Linked DNA regions of Bombyx mori. The protein of the gene in region 2 binds, or shares a complex with, the protein of the main gene of each other region. Links are inferred from orthologs where the notes say so. Each region holds a gene or a part of one and is shown on either strand. Other genes may lie near its edges. The genes, in order: RNA-binding protein spenito, protein virilizer and N6-adenosine-methyltransferase non-catalytic subunit.

The links.
Region 1: protein virilizer (region 2) and RNA-binding protein spenito share a complex: the UniProt entries of both Drosophila melanogaster proteins name them as parts of the WMM complex. The link is inferred for Bombyx mori from reciprocal best matches to the Drosophila melanogaster genes vir and nito.
Region 3: protein virilizer (region 2) and N6-adenosine-methyltransferase non-catalytic subunit share a complex: the UniProt entries of both Drosophila melanogaster proteins name them as parts of the WMM complex. The link is inferred for Bombyx mori from reciprocal best matches to the Drosophila melanogaster genes vir and Mettl14.

Annotation. Positions count from the first base shown.
Region 1 is NC_085125.1:10,174,390-10,178,580, reverse strand, and holds the start of RNA-binding protein spenito, read right to left. Parts: upstream 2,811-4,191; coding exon 564-2,810; 3' UTR 1-563. UniProt on the Drosophila melanogaster protein: RNA-binding protein that acts as an associated component of the WMM complex, a complex that mediates N6-methyladenosine (m6A) methylation of mRNAs. M6a modification plays a role in the efficiency of mRNA splicing and is required for sex determination.
Region 2 is NC_085117.1:6,048,793-6,053,138, forward strand, and holds the start of protein virilizer, read left to right. Parts: upstream 1-1,520; 5' UTR 1,521-1,622; coding exon 1,623-1,685; intron 1,686-1,764; coding exon 1,765-2,056; intron 2,057-4,055; coding exon 4,056-4,346. UniProt on the Drosophila melanogaster protein: Associated component of the WMM complex, a complex that mediates N6-methyladenosine (m6A) methylation of mRNAs, a modification that plays a role in the efficiency of mRNA splicing and is required for sex determination.
Region 3 is NC_085109.1:13,109,367-13,113,512, reverse strand, and holds the start of N6-adenosine-methyltransferase non-catalytic subunit, read left to right. Parts: upstream 1-1,213; 5' UTR 1,214-1,265; exon of another isoform or gene 1,266-1,333; intron 1,334-1,833; coding exon 1,834-1,899; intron 1,900-1,975; coding exon 1,976-2,140; intron 2,141-2,592; coding exon 2,593-2,793; intron 2,794-4,146. UniProt on the Drosophila melanogaster protein: Non-catalytic component of the WMM complex, a complex that mediates N6-methyladenosine (m6A) methylation of mRNAs, a modification that plays a role in the efficiency of mRNA splicing and is required for sex determination.

The DNA.
Region 1 (4,191 bases), on a different chromosome or scaffold from region 2:
TCTTCAATTGACTCTAAATTTGGTAATTTTACTGTTAAAACCACAACACACCACTGACTTGTTGTTCCACTGTACATCCTTTTATAATCATTTTTTTGCAAATTAATGGACATACCAAAACATAAATTCACAATACTTTTTTTTTTGGAACACCTTAACATCACAAAACCACTAATGGATCAACTGCACTGGATATGTCACTTAATCACAAGGTTTAAAAAAACAACTTTCAAAATTAAAATAATCTATTTGTTTTGTTCACACACTACACATCACCTAAATCATACACTGAATATTATACACTTAACTTTAAAAAAGTAAGATAAACTTCTTTTAGTCGGATATCTAGCTGAACTAGCTTCTATACTGTACATTTTCATCAAAGTTAATTCTGATCACTGTGAGAACACAGCACTGCACAAATATTTAAACTTGCACATCTTATGCACCTCACATCACACACATCACAAGAATATAAAGTAAAAAGTGTAGAACAAAAAACTTAAATTAAGAGTATATACCTACAAATAACAATACAATATACTAAAGCAGTGTTTGAATAATTAAGCAGTGCCACCTCGTACTACTACTATAACTAGGTGATCTTCCTTAAAACTCTCTTCAGTTAAATTGTGACACGTTCTTTTGAGAAGGTCAGTTGAAAATTCACATGGAGGGAAAGAATAAAGAACTCCAGTAGCTTCAGTCTCTTTGTTCAAAAGTGATATCACACCTGCTGCTTCTTTTTGTTTAAGATATGATACCAAATTCCTCATTGGTCGTGTTTGTATCGAAACATCTTCATTGGTGACTACAGCAGTAGAACCAGACACACCCACAAAAATGGCATGAGAGCTAGATGTGGCAATACGTTTTTGAACATCATCTAACTTAGGTTGATCCAAACGTAATCTTTGTGTGATTCTGAGCTGTTTTCTACCATCTTCATCTTTCATGAGACTATCAATAATTTCAGAGTCACCGTCTGTTAAATGCAACTTAGTAGGAAACAATGAATTTTTGAGAATCAGTGCTCCATGCCAAATTGTAGTTGCTTTACGAACTAATTCTGCCATTGTTCGTGACGAAGATAGCATCCCACTACTTCTACGCATTGATCCATCAGAGTCACTATCAGGTGATCTACGACGAGATCGTGAGCGTGACCTATCGACTCCAGGCTCCCTTGATCCAGAACGACGCAAGCGACTCTCATATTCTGAATCTAATGGAGCACGTCTCCATTCTTCGTCACGATAATCTCCTGTACCATGATAGACACCTCTGTAGGAGCCACGTCCACGGCCACGATGCCCACCTCTACCCCTATAAGTACCATAGCTATAACCATCCTCCCAAGAACTACCTTCATATCCCTCATATCCTTCAACAGGCCTACCATCTTCACCAACAGGTGCACTGTAAGGTTTAGGTCTATAGGGTCCACCTGTTCCAACGTCTGCGAAATCAATACGCAAACGTCGCTCCGGTCCCCCTAAAGGAAAGCCCCGCATTTCTTTGACAGCAGCTTGGGCTGCATCAATAGAGTCATATAAAATATAGGCATGAGGTTCACCCTTCACATATTCAATCTTTTTAATGGCACCAAACCTATCAAATTCTCTCTCTAACTGTGCTACTGAAGTCCATGGTCCCAGGCCACCCACCCAGACACGTGTTGTGGGTGTAGCTTTGCCATAACCTATTTTACATTGAAATTTGCCAATGTATTGGCCTGATAATTCAACTTTGGCTCTGTGTGCCATGTCCAAAGTTTGATAACGAACAAATGCAAAAGCATTTCCAGTACCTGGAGGAGGTCTTTTAATGTCAATGTCCTCTACTATACCATAGCGTCCAAAAATTCGGCGTAACTCTTCATCAGAAATGTTTATTTCTAAATTACCAGCGAAAAGAGTTCTTGTAGCTAATGGATCATCTTCAGGTTGAACATGGTGTAGGTAATTTGGAAATTTATCTTTTTTGTTCTCAATTTTCTCAAATGGAGGATGGTGAGGCCGGGGCATGTATGGACGTGGCATATAATGGGGATGTGGAGGGTGATGCATAGGTGGTCTGTGATGCATTGGAGGCCCATGAGGACCTGCCATGGGATACTCATGCATAGGAGGGCGGAAATCTCTATGGTGAGGTGGCACTGTAGGAGGGATACCATAGGCTCTCTCATCAGGAGGGGGACGACGTCTCTCTGGTACAGGAGACCAAGCGTATGAATAAGGGCGATCATAGTCAGGAGGAGTTATACTACGAGGCCTCGGTCTGTACTCAGAACGTACAGGTTCATAAACAGGATCAACAATAGCAACTTTATCATACAGTATTATCCTAGGCTTGGCATGTTTAGCGTCTCTCGCATCCTCTGCACTTCGGAAGCAGATGTAGGCTACTCTCTCATCCAACTCATGGGATATTTTTATACTAAAGTCACCATACTTCTTATATTCTCTATACAAAGTATCCTTGACAATCTCATCCGACGCTTTAGGGTGTAAAGCACTAACACATAGTACTTTGTAGTAGCTGCGGACAGATTCATCTCGAGCATCACGAGAACGCACGTAATCATCGCGATGAGGTGACACATATCGACCGCGCGGGCTAGGGGAGCGTACTCGACGTCGTACTCGTTCCGGGCTTCCACGCTCGTCAGAGCTATCGTCATACCTACCAATACTGCTGCGTGTCCGTTTTGATCGCGGCATACTATCACGCGACGAACTTCGCTTCATATTGCGAATTTTCACCGTAATTCGATCTCTATCTCTATCGCTACGCGGTAATCCAATCATGAAAGCTCACTTCGACGAACTACTATCTGAAATACACATCACAATATTACACGTCACTGTAAATTAGTTTTGGTCGATACAATAAAGTAACCCACTGATGCACTATTCTTACCCCAAACGAATTACAAACACTAATCACTCAGCAGATCACTGAAAACCTCAATCTTGGACGAACTAATTCGTATTATTAAGTAGACAATTATTTTAAAATAATCACGTTCACTTCAACTTTATTTAATGTAAATTTGAAATTAGAAGCGCTGATAAGCATCAAGAATATCGACCATTACATGGGAATCTCACAAAATGGCAGTTTGGCTGAGGGTTGCCAAATGTGATTTCTGAATTTCTTGTACATATTTCCCCAAATTATTTTGCCGTTTCTTCTGAGTTGTATTATGTACGATAGGTACGCTGTTTCGGTTCTGTAACCAGCTTTACGGGTAGCGGATTTTGTCCGATAAGTGTTTTTTGGGTCTTCATCGAGTTGATCTTAAAACCAACTTTGGCGCTTCCAACTATATATCGTCCAGTTTGGATTGCATGCAGACAACTTCATGATTAAAAAAACATTAGTCATCAGCATGGTCTAGACCATCCAATTCTTTGGACAACCCCCACATAACAAGTCACATCCATGCTACTGTCGAAATTGCTATGATTTAATTAACTAATTGTTGTAATATGGACTGCTAAACTGAATACTTAATAGAGAAAATTACTGATCTGTATCCCAAGAGAAGTAAAGCTACCTATGATCTGGACTTTTTGGCGGGAACGCGAGAAGTGAAGTTGTGTGCTTTGTTTTATTTAATAGTGTTTCTTAGGTTTGAATGTGTAATAACGTGGTTTATTAACTATTTAGTATCTGTGAAAGTGCACAAATGGGAAAATGAAACAAAGCCACTGAACGTAACTTCTCGGGATCTTCCAAAAAGTTCACTGAAAAAGTCTCAGCAAATGACCCCTATTTTACTGAGATTATACTTCATTCCATATCATCTTATCTCATTTCATTTCATTTCGTTTTCATTTCATGCCATGTATAATAATAATCAACTTCATTTCATTTCATAATATCATTTTTCATTAAAAAAGCTGTCATTAAAATTAAAAAAAGACATGACCAAAAAGTCTTAGTTACCAGATCATAAAATCACTTTAAAAAAATGCTACCAGTGTAGTACCGTAAAATGGGGCGATTAGGGACAAATTCCAACTTTATGAGCAATTTTATGGTAGTTGTTGATGTATATAATGCTATATCAGGATCAAAATGATTGAGTCTTGGGGGCATCTTTGTTGTCTAATTTAAAATTATGCAACTAGCATTCCAGTTTAAGCAAAAAATGCAAAAATAGGTCTAATCCCTATTTACCCG
Region 2 (4,346 bases):
TGACCCTAGCAAGAGCAGTGCTTCACAGAATCTACCACCAGATCGGAAACGCGACCCACCGAGAAGATCCGGCGAGAAACTCAGTGGGCTGTGTCTATGGGTTAATTCGCTCGTCGAGCCCTTCGTTGCAAGCGACGGGTTCGATGAGGACGGTGACGAGTGCTTGTGGTACCTAAAAGCACTGTTAATGGATCGGGAGGATCCGTAATGACAACTATATTAATAATCGAGCAAACTTGTGGCAGACAAGTACAGTGAAGTGGTACAGCGGTTCCGTAGACATTTAATCTTGTGTTTATGTCGTATGCCAAGGGTGTGTCCCGACATACAAGATTGGCTACACATTATGTAAGCGTGCATCTATCTAGTGGATATCTAATGTTGAATGTGAATGTTACAGATCTATGTTACATCTAGGTGCCTTCAAACTGGACTACAGCTTGTAGTATTGGTTAAAGGAGTTAAGGATAATATTTCGGTCGTTCGTGTGCACAGCTCTGCTCTAACTTTGCCAATCTCATACATAACAGGTATGTATATTGAGGATAAGCTTTGAACAAATCCAAATACCTACACGCTAAAACAAAAAAAATCATTCCACATAGTGGTACGTGAGCCACTGAAATAAAAATACCCAAACTTCAACAGACAAAGTGGCGAAGACAAAGGCCTTTCTGAGATCCTCTATTAATGAAAAGTACCTAGGACATAGAAACATTTAGGTTTTGATTTGAGGCAAGTATGCACACATGTAAAGATATTTAAACATCGTTAAAGAATACAAAAAACTCAATATGAAACCTGATGAAATCCATATAAAGATTAAAAAGTTATTTGTCAAAAATTACCCGCTTTTTCTTTTTTAATTTGTCATAAATATATAAGATTGATGTCATGATAAGAAATGAAACTTTTATTTTTCAACGAGCATTAGTTACAAAAATAATCGTAACACGATTTTATTTGTCTATATATCTTTATATCTTTTCAGATAATACATAATTTTAATAAAAAAGAACCTTTGACAGAATTTGACGGTGTTAACTAATAATAACCCATTGATGTAATAAAGGTCTATGACCGAACCACCTTATACATCTATATCATGAGAGAAAATAACCGATTTTAATTTATTTGGATAGATACTTACAATTCGACCAATGAAAACCGAAAATGACCGAAAATGACCACCATTTTACTGAGATAATATTTCATCCCAAATCATCTCATCTTATTTCTTTTAATTTCATCCCAGTTGATTAATATCTCAAATTAATCATCATCATTTCACTCCATATTATCATTTTTCATAAAAATATCCCGTAACATACCATGTCATCTCATTTCATTTCATTTCATTTCATGCCATTTTCATATTTATTTATTTATTTTAATTATTATTAATCAACTTCATTTTATTTCATAATATAATATTTCATAAATATATATATATATTATAAAAGATTAGGCTGTATGGTATGGTACCTTTGCCTTTCCATTTGGAAAAATAAAACTACTGTACTGATACTGTAGATTGTAGATTATAGAATCTATGCTTCTAATTCTAAAATATTAGTAAATTCATGTGAATACAAATTACTAATATTAAATGAAACAATACAATGACGAACTCTGAGAAACCCGATCTATTATTCTTTGATACGTTCTCACACGACACAAGCGAGGTAAACAGTATATTTATCAATCAAATCGACTTAATGTTTTGCTTGTTTTTCAAAACCATTCTTCGCTTTGTTATTACAGGAATTGAATCTGGATTTAGTACAGTTTCCAAAGTCTGTCTATGTAAGAGAAATACGTGTTATTCCATTGGGTGCCCGAGTTGAAGGAGACTTTCCCGGTCGAGTTCGGTTAGGCGCCACAAACCCTACGAAGTTTCATATCGACTTTTTCGTGAATGATCTGAGTAAGCCTGGAGCTTCCACTTTCGAAGCTTTGGGTAGTTTGGACTACTGTCAAAATGGACAGATTCATATGGAGTGTGGAGCTGATGGGGACCATCCTAGAATCCCTACTGATGGCCTTGTATTAAGAGGTCAGTAATTATAACCTGTTTCAAGATGTTCATTTGGACTGAATTCTTCTTGACTGACGAAACAATGTGTTCATATAATTATGTAGATAAAAGTAAGTAAACATAAAGGTAAGAAAACAGGCAGTTTTATTTTCCTTATGGTTTGATACCTGGCACCAGAAATGTAATAATATATGATTAGTGATTTTCATTATATTACCATAGATGAGCAAAGTGAGCTTATTTGGTTGAAAGGGTTTTTGTTCAAATGGATTTAAATTCTCAATTGTGTAGCAATATGCATTTTTGGTTTCATGTCCAGTTGCACAATACTTAATTGAAATTTCCAAAACGATATATACAGGGTCTATCTTAAATAAATGATAGCCTATTATTCAGGGGTAGCTCTGATGTCGAGCTGTAAGAAGAATTACTTTTTATGTTTAATTTAAGCCTATTTTCATATTGGGTTTTTAATGAAGTCATGATAAACCATTTGTTGCACCTACTACCTAGTTTGCAAAATTATTTACAAGAGAGAAATAATACACATTTCTTGAAAAATCAAAACTTACTTCTTTAACTAATTTTGCTTAAAAAGCACACACTTATCATCAACAGCCCACAGCTGCCCACTGATGGACAAACACCTCTCCTAATCTACATCACCGAGCCCAGTGTTTGTTTTTTTCCCATCTATCTTTAATTGGCCATCCTTTGAAGTTAATCTCACCACCTAGCTGTGGAGTGCCTCACATTACATTTGCTATTGCAAGCCATCCACTCAAGAACCCTTCTACTCCAGCAATCATCAGTATGTCATATATGTCCAGTTCACTGCTACTGCAGCTTACTGACTCTCTAAGTTATGTAGTTGATTTAATTCTCTGTTGAATAATGAGGTAATTCAACTGATTTTGTCGTTCAGAGAACAAACATAGCTCTTTCCATGGCTCGCTGTGCACCTTGAACTGATGGATTATGGCACTGTGAGTATTCACAGTTCGAGTCCGTGAGTCATAACCAGTTAAATTCACTGGTTGATCTTTTGTTTTCAGGCACTGTGTAATGTGCAATGAAAAATGTTCATGAAGTTTGATGTAGACTTTTTTATTACACCATCAATGCCTAATTGTGATTTTATTCAAAAACAATACAAAAATATGCTTAAATTCATAATTTCAACCCCTTCAATAGTAGTTTAATGAAGTAATACACATATTCAGGAGGAAATATAAAAAAAAATCATTTTGACATCTCTGACAGATCTAAATAAATTAAAAGTGTAAAAAAACTAAATAGAAGTGTAAATTAAAGTAAAAACTAGACTGTCCTATGAATATTATTATTGTAATTAAAATGGGAATGTGAAAAAACCCCTTACAGTTACATATCTAGACATGGCTATGCACTTTGTGGGTGCCACTTAGGGTAATCCTTACAAGTGAACATTGACTCTTAATATTGTTACATGCTGGGGCTCAAGATAAATAAAACTTCCACCAAAGTACAAATTAAAACTCTATTTAACACTTAGAACACTACAATTCGTGATATACTTCTTCTGCTTCGCTTCAGGTGATCCATTAGCTGTTTCGCTATGAGTAGATCCGATTACTAACTGCCTTCATGTCATCTCTGCAATGCTTTTATACTTGACACAAACACTCTACAATTATCGAGAACATTCTTGATAGGGCGAGTAGTTTCAATAAGGGTTTCCACTATTCGAGCATTCTAGATATTGCTAGTTCTTTTGATATTCGTTTCTGCTAGTCAATGTCAGATGGTTTTACTCTAACCGTAACAATATCAATTTGAAAATAATCTGTTTTCCTCTTAAGTTTCTGATGGAAATGACATTCAAACAACTTTTGTTATTCTTTTCAATTTCATAAGCTGGTGATGAATTAACCTACAGTTGAAGTAATACCCTTGCCTATTTTTATATTTTATATTATTTATAACATTGTCAATTTCTACCTTTTACACTCATTAACACAATGTTACATAATTTCAGGATGTTACACTACCATCACTCTTGCTGTTTACGGGACGCTCACACAGATTTTACCAGAAACACCAGTTGGTATCAATCCCCCTCCCACTATTCAAAGACCCGCAGTCAACCGAGATGCGCCACCAGCAAATGTGACACAACCACCTGACTGGAATCCAGAGCCAACCAATCCAATACCATCATACACTGGTAATGTCGCCAGCACCAACCCCGATGTCTATACTCCTAATACGTATCCAGAAAATTATGAAAATCCAATTTATCGAAATGAATATTATGAAAACGAGCCTC
Region 3 (4,146 bases), on a different chromosome or scaffold from region 2:
TCCTTTTATCTGCACAATGACAACCGAAGTACAACAAACAGCCTGAAGGTCTGGCAACTATTAGCTCGTTCTGTATAAAATGGAACGTGAATATCTAGAAAATATATATAGAAAAATAGACGTTAGTTATCACAATTTTCTAAGTAAATGTCGAAGAATAAAGTATTAATAACTATGACGAATAACACTTTAGTCGTCTGTGACTACGAATAATGAAAAGTATTCGAATCGGTTGAAATAATATAATGACAATAAAACGCGAGATTAAGCCGTAATAGTAGTTTTTAATAAGTCTACTTAATGCAAAACCGAGAGAAATGTTAAATTAGTTTTTTATAAGTCTATTTTTCTAAAAAAAATAACTATAACCTAAAAAATATATTTTTTATTTAACTTTCTAACTTAACTCTTCGCGATCCAGCTCTTGTCTCATCGAGTTTTATTTAACTTTCCATTTCATTTCTTTATGGAGGATAGAGGTAAGGAGAGCCGTCTCTGTGTGAAAAAGTGTCCATTAAAATCTGCTAAATAAGGGTAGCGCTACAGTAGCATCCGGGTAAATTTAAAAAAAGGCGCTAAAAGCTATAAGAATAAGATAGAGAAATAAAAAGGGACGAAAGAACTCTAAGCCTTACAAAATCACAAAAAGTATTTTATTTAAAGCTGATAAGAAAATACAATCTTTTTTTTTTTCGATGTCTGCACGTTTTACTATAGTAAAAACTTTAGGATATATTGACGAAATTAGTTTGGACTACGTAAACATGTGAGGTCTTGTATATTACACTGTCACTAACTACTCTAGTCATTATATATATTAAACCTAACTCAGCATATCTCAATCAGTTAACAACTGCTCAATTCATATCATACCCTGTGCCTATGCTAGCGCCATTCTGGAGGATTTTTGAACTATTACTTAGTGCTGAAAGTGAGACACCCACTTCTCCCATATGAGACGGTTCTCCTTACCTCTATCCTCTATACCAAGCCTGGGCAAATGGCGGCCCGCGGGCCAAATCCGGCCCGCTCTAGAATTTTGTCTGGCCCGTGAAGCATTGTATATATTATTATTAAAAACACAAATATTAGTTTTTGTCTAACATAAATTGGTGCTGTAGCAAACCGACCGGTACGTTACTCTCGCGGCCGTATGCCCGCTCGCTATACATAGTTAGTATCTATGTCCATCTTTTCAACAGTGTATAATCTATGTTCCGGGCGCTTCCGTTTTGAGTGTGAATAGCGTGCGCCCGCGTCTAAATGTAATTATTGTTTAAAAATTGAAAATTGTTTGTTATAAAGGAAGATTAAAATTCGAAATTCGATATTGGTGACTAACCCATAGTTTTAAATACCCCTGAGATCTACCCCTCACTATAGTGCATTTTTTTTTTATAATATATTAAGCAATACTTTTCAACACATTAACAGGGCCGGTGGGAGCCAAAATTTTCTCCCGGACAACGGCTCTTTTCAGCGACTCCTATTCGAAAAAATTATTAAAATAATAGAACAATTAAAGTATGTATAATAGTCGCACAATAAAATTAGAAAAAAAAGCTGTTTGGCTCGAGGTCAAATTTTCATCTGCAATGTGGCCCGACTATCAAAATATTTACCCATCCCTGCTCTTTAAATTTCTTGTAGCATTTGACGTTTCATACAAACCAAATGAACTTGGCTTTTGGTTACAAAAATATTGGTTTTATCCTTATGGACTATGATCCCTTTACCTGTTCGGTGGATAATTAATAAGCAAAAACAATCATGTTTTGATTGTCGTTTTGTTTATTTTATTATTAATTATTTTACGATTTATTTTAATGAAAGATGAGTGAGAAATTAAGAGAACTACGCGAGAGATCTCAAAAACGAAAAAAGCTTCTAGCACAGACAGTAAGTAAGCATCAATTTAATTTAGTTTTAAATACATAAAAAAGGTTTTAGTCCATGACAACTGTTATTTCTTCAGTTAGGTGTCTCGAGTGTGAGCGAATTAAGACATGCGCTGGGTTCAGCTCTAGACGTACCTGTTAAAAAACAAGCTGTGTCTGGAAGCGGAGGTGAAGGAGATAAACCCACCAGTAAGGACCAACCGGATGAACTTGTATACACCGACTCCTCTACATTTTTGAAGGTTTGTTACTTTTTTTGTAATTAAAGATGTCGAAGCAGTTAACAGAAATTCTAGAGTATTTTAAAGGTTAAGACCTTGTATCTATCGGCAAATTAAATATCTTTCCTAATGACTAACCTCAATCTACCCATGCAAAAAACTGTAAACTAATTGATCAAAGTGCTCTGATAATTTTCATAAGTGGGTTTATATTCATTTATTATTTATCTTGATTTGTGTATAGTGTACTTGGCTGTATTAAATGTATCTACCACTTAAATCATTCACACATTAGTAAGGGGTTATGATTTTATGATATACACATTGAAGATTGACTTATTGTGAACAAATTAATTTTTATACAAATGTTGGTCACTCTACACTGTGAATTTAACAATGATAAGTGTGTTATTGTGATATATTATTGAAAAGAGCCAAGGGACACTACAATTTCATACTAAAATTGATTTCAGGGCACGCAGTCATCAAATCCTCACAATGACTATTGTCAGCACTTTGTTGACACAGGTCAGAGGCCACAAAACTATATCAGAGATGTTGGGCTCGCTGACAGGTTTGAGGAATATCCGAAATTACGTGAACTCATTAAACTGAAAGACGATTTAATTGCGGAAACTGCAACACCACCTATGTATTTGAAATGTGATCTCAAGGTAAATAAATAAAGTATTATCTGATGACTCTCTCTGGCTAGGTGCTGTGATGACCTCCAAACGCTGGCCGGCAAGAAGTGGGATGAGAAGAGCCGTAGACCAGGCTCAGTGGTGTGGATTGGGAGAGGCCTATGTCCAGCAGTGTACGACTATGGGCTGTTGATGATGATGATGATGATGAATTAATGATAATTAAATATTGGCTTTCTGATTTGCTTCATTTTTGGTATAAAAAAAATAAAATCCAGAAGAACTAAAGTAAATAAGTTAGATTTTGCAAAAGCCTTTGCACAAAACATAACTTTGCTGGGTCTTATGGGCTTAATTCTAACAAGGTTAACCCATTTTGTAACATCCTCTTTACAATACTATCCAATGTCATACCTGACAGGCATGATAACCAACCCCACCTAATAGCATCGAGGGATAAATGCAAAATCTAATTAGTTCAGGCAATTACCTGAATGTTAATACAATAAGAGAGGGTAGTCAATAGTCAATATTGTGACTCTTGTGAGTCTGCACGGGTAGGTACCATCACCCCGCCCATTTCTGCCGCGAAGCAGTACATAATCCATTTCAGTTTGAAGGGCGGAGCAGCCTATATTGTATTGTAACTATACTGAGACCTTAGAACTTATATCTCAAAGTGGGTGGTGCATTTACGTTGTAGATGTCTATGGGCTCCAGTAACCACTTAAAATCCGGTGGGCTGTGCGCTTGTCCACCCATCTAAGCAATAAAAAAAAATCAAATGTCAGCAAATAATATCTTAGTTATTCTTGACCACAAAAACTGTAAAGTAGTATAAATCGTCCCAAATATTATAATGACAATAAAAACCGTAAGATTAAACCGTAATAATACTTTTAAATATATTATACTTTATTCCCTTCCAATATTTAAGAACAAAATTATAAAAAGTTGTTGTTAAATCTCAGCCTCGGCCTTGGTCTGAGTACTCGGGTATTACTGTCCTTGTTGTCTTTCTGTTTTTAATTTTTTATTATTATTTATAGTATGTTAAATCTCTATTAATATGTTAATGTAATGCATGCTGTGATTACCTATAATTAGAGTTGCAGTTATCAATTGCTCTAAACATGTCAATGTTATTTTATGTCTTACTGTAAACCCTGTAGGTAATCCTTAAATAAATAAATTAATAAATAAACATTTCTACCACACGCAAAAACCAGGGAAAATAGTGCAGTCGCCCAAATTGTAGATATTGAATTTTGACCACTTTGATCGTAATCATCACAGTTTGATCCATGCTGTTGAATTAACAGCCATACTATCATAACCAGAAATGTTATCATTACCACCATCTATCTATGCTCAGATATTTTT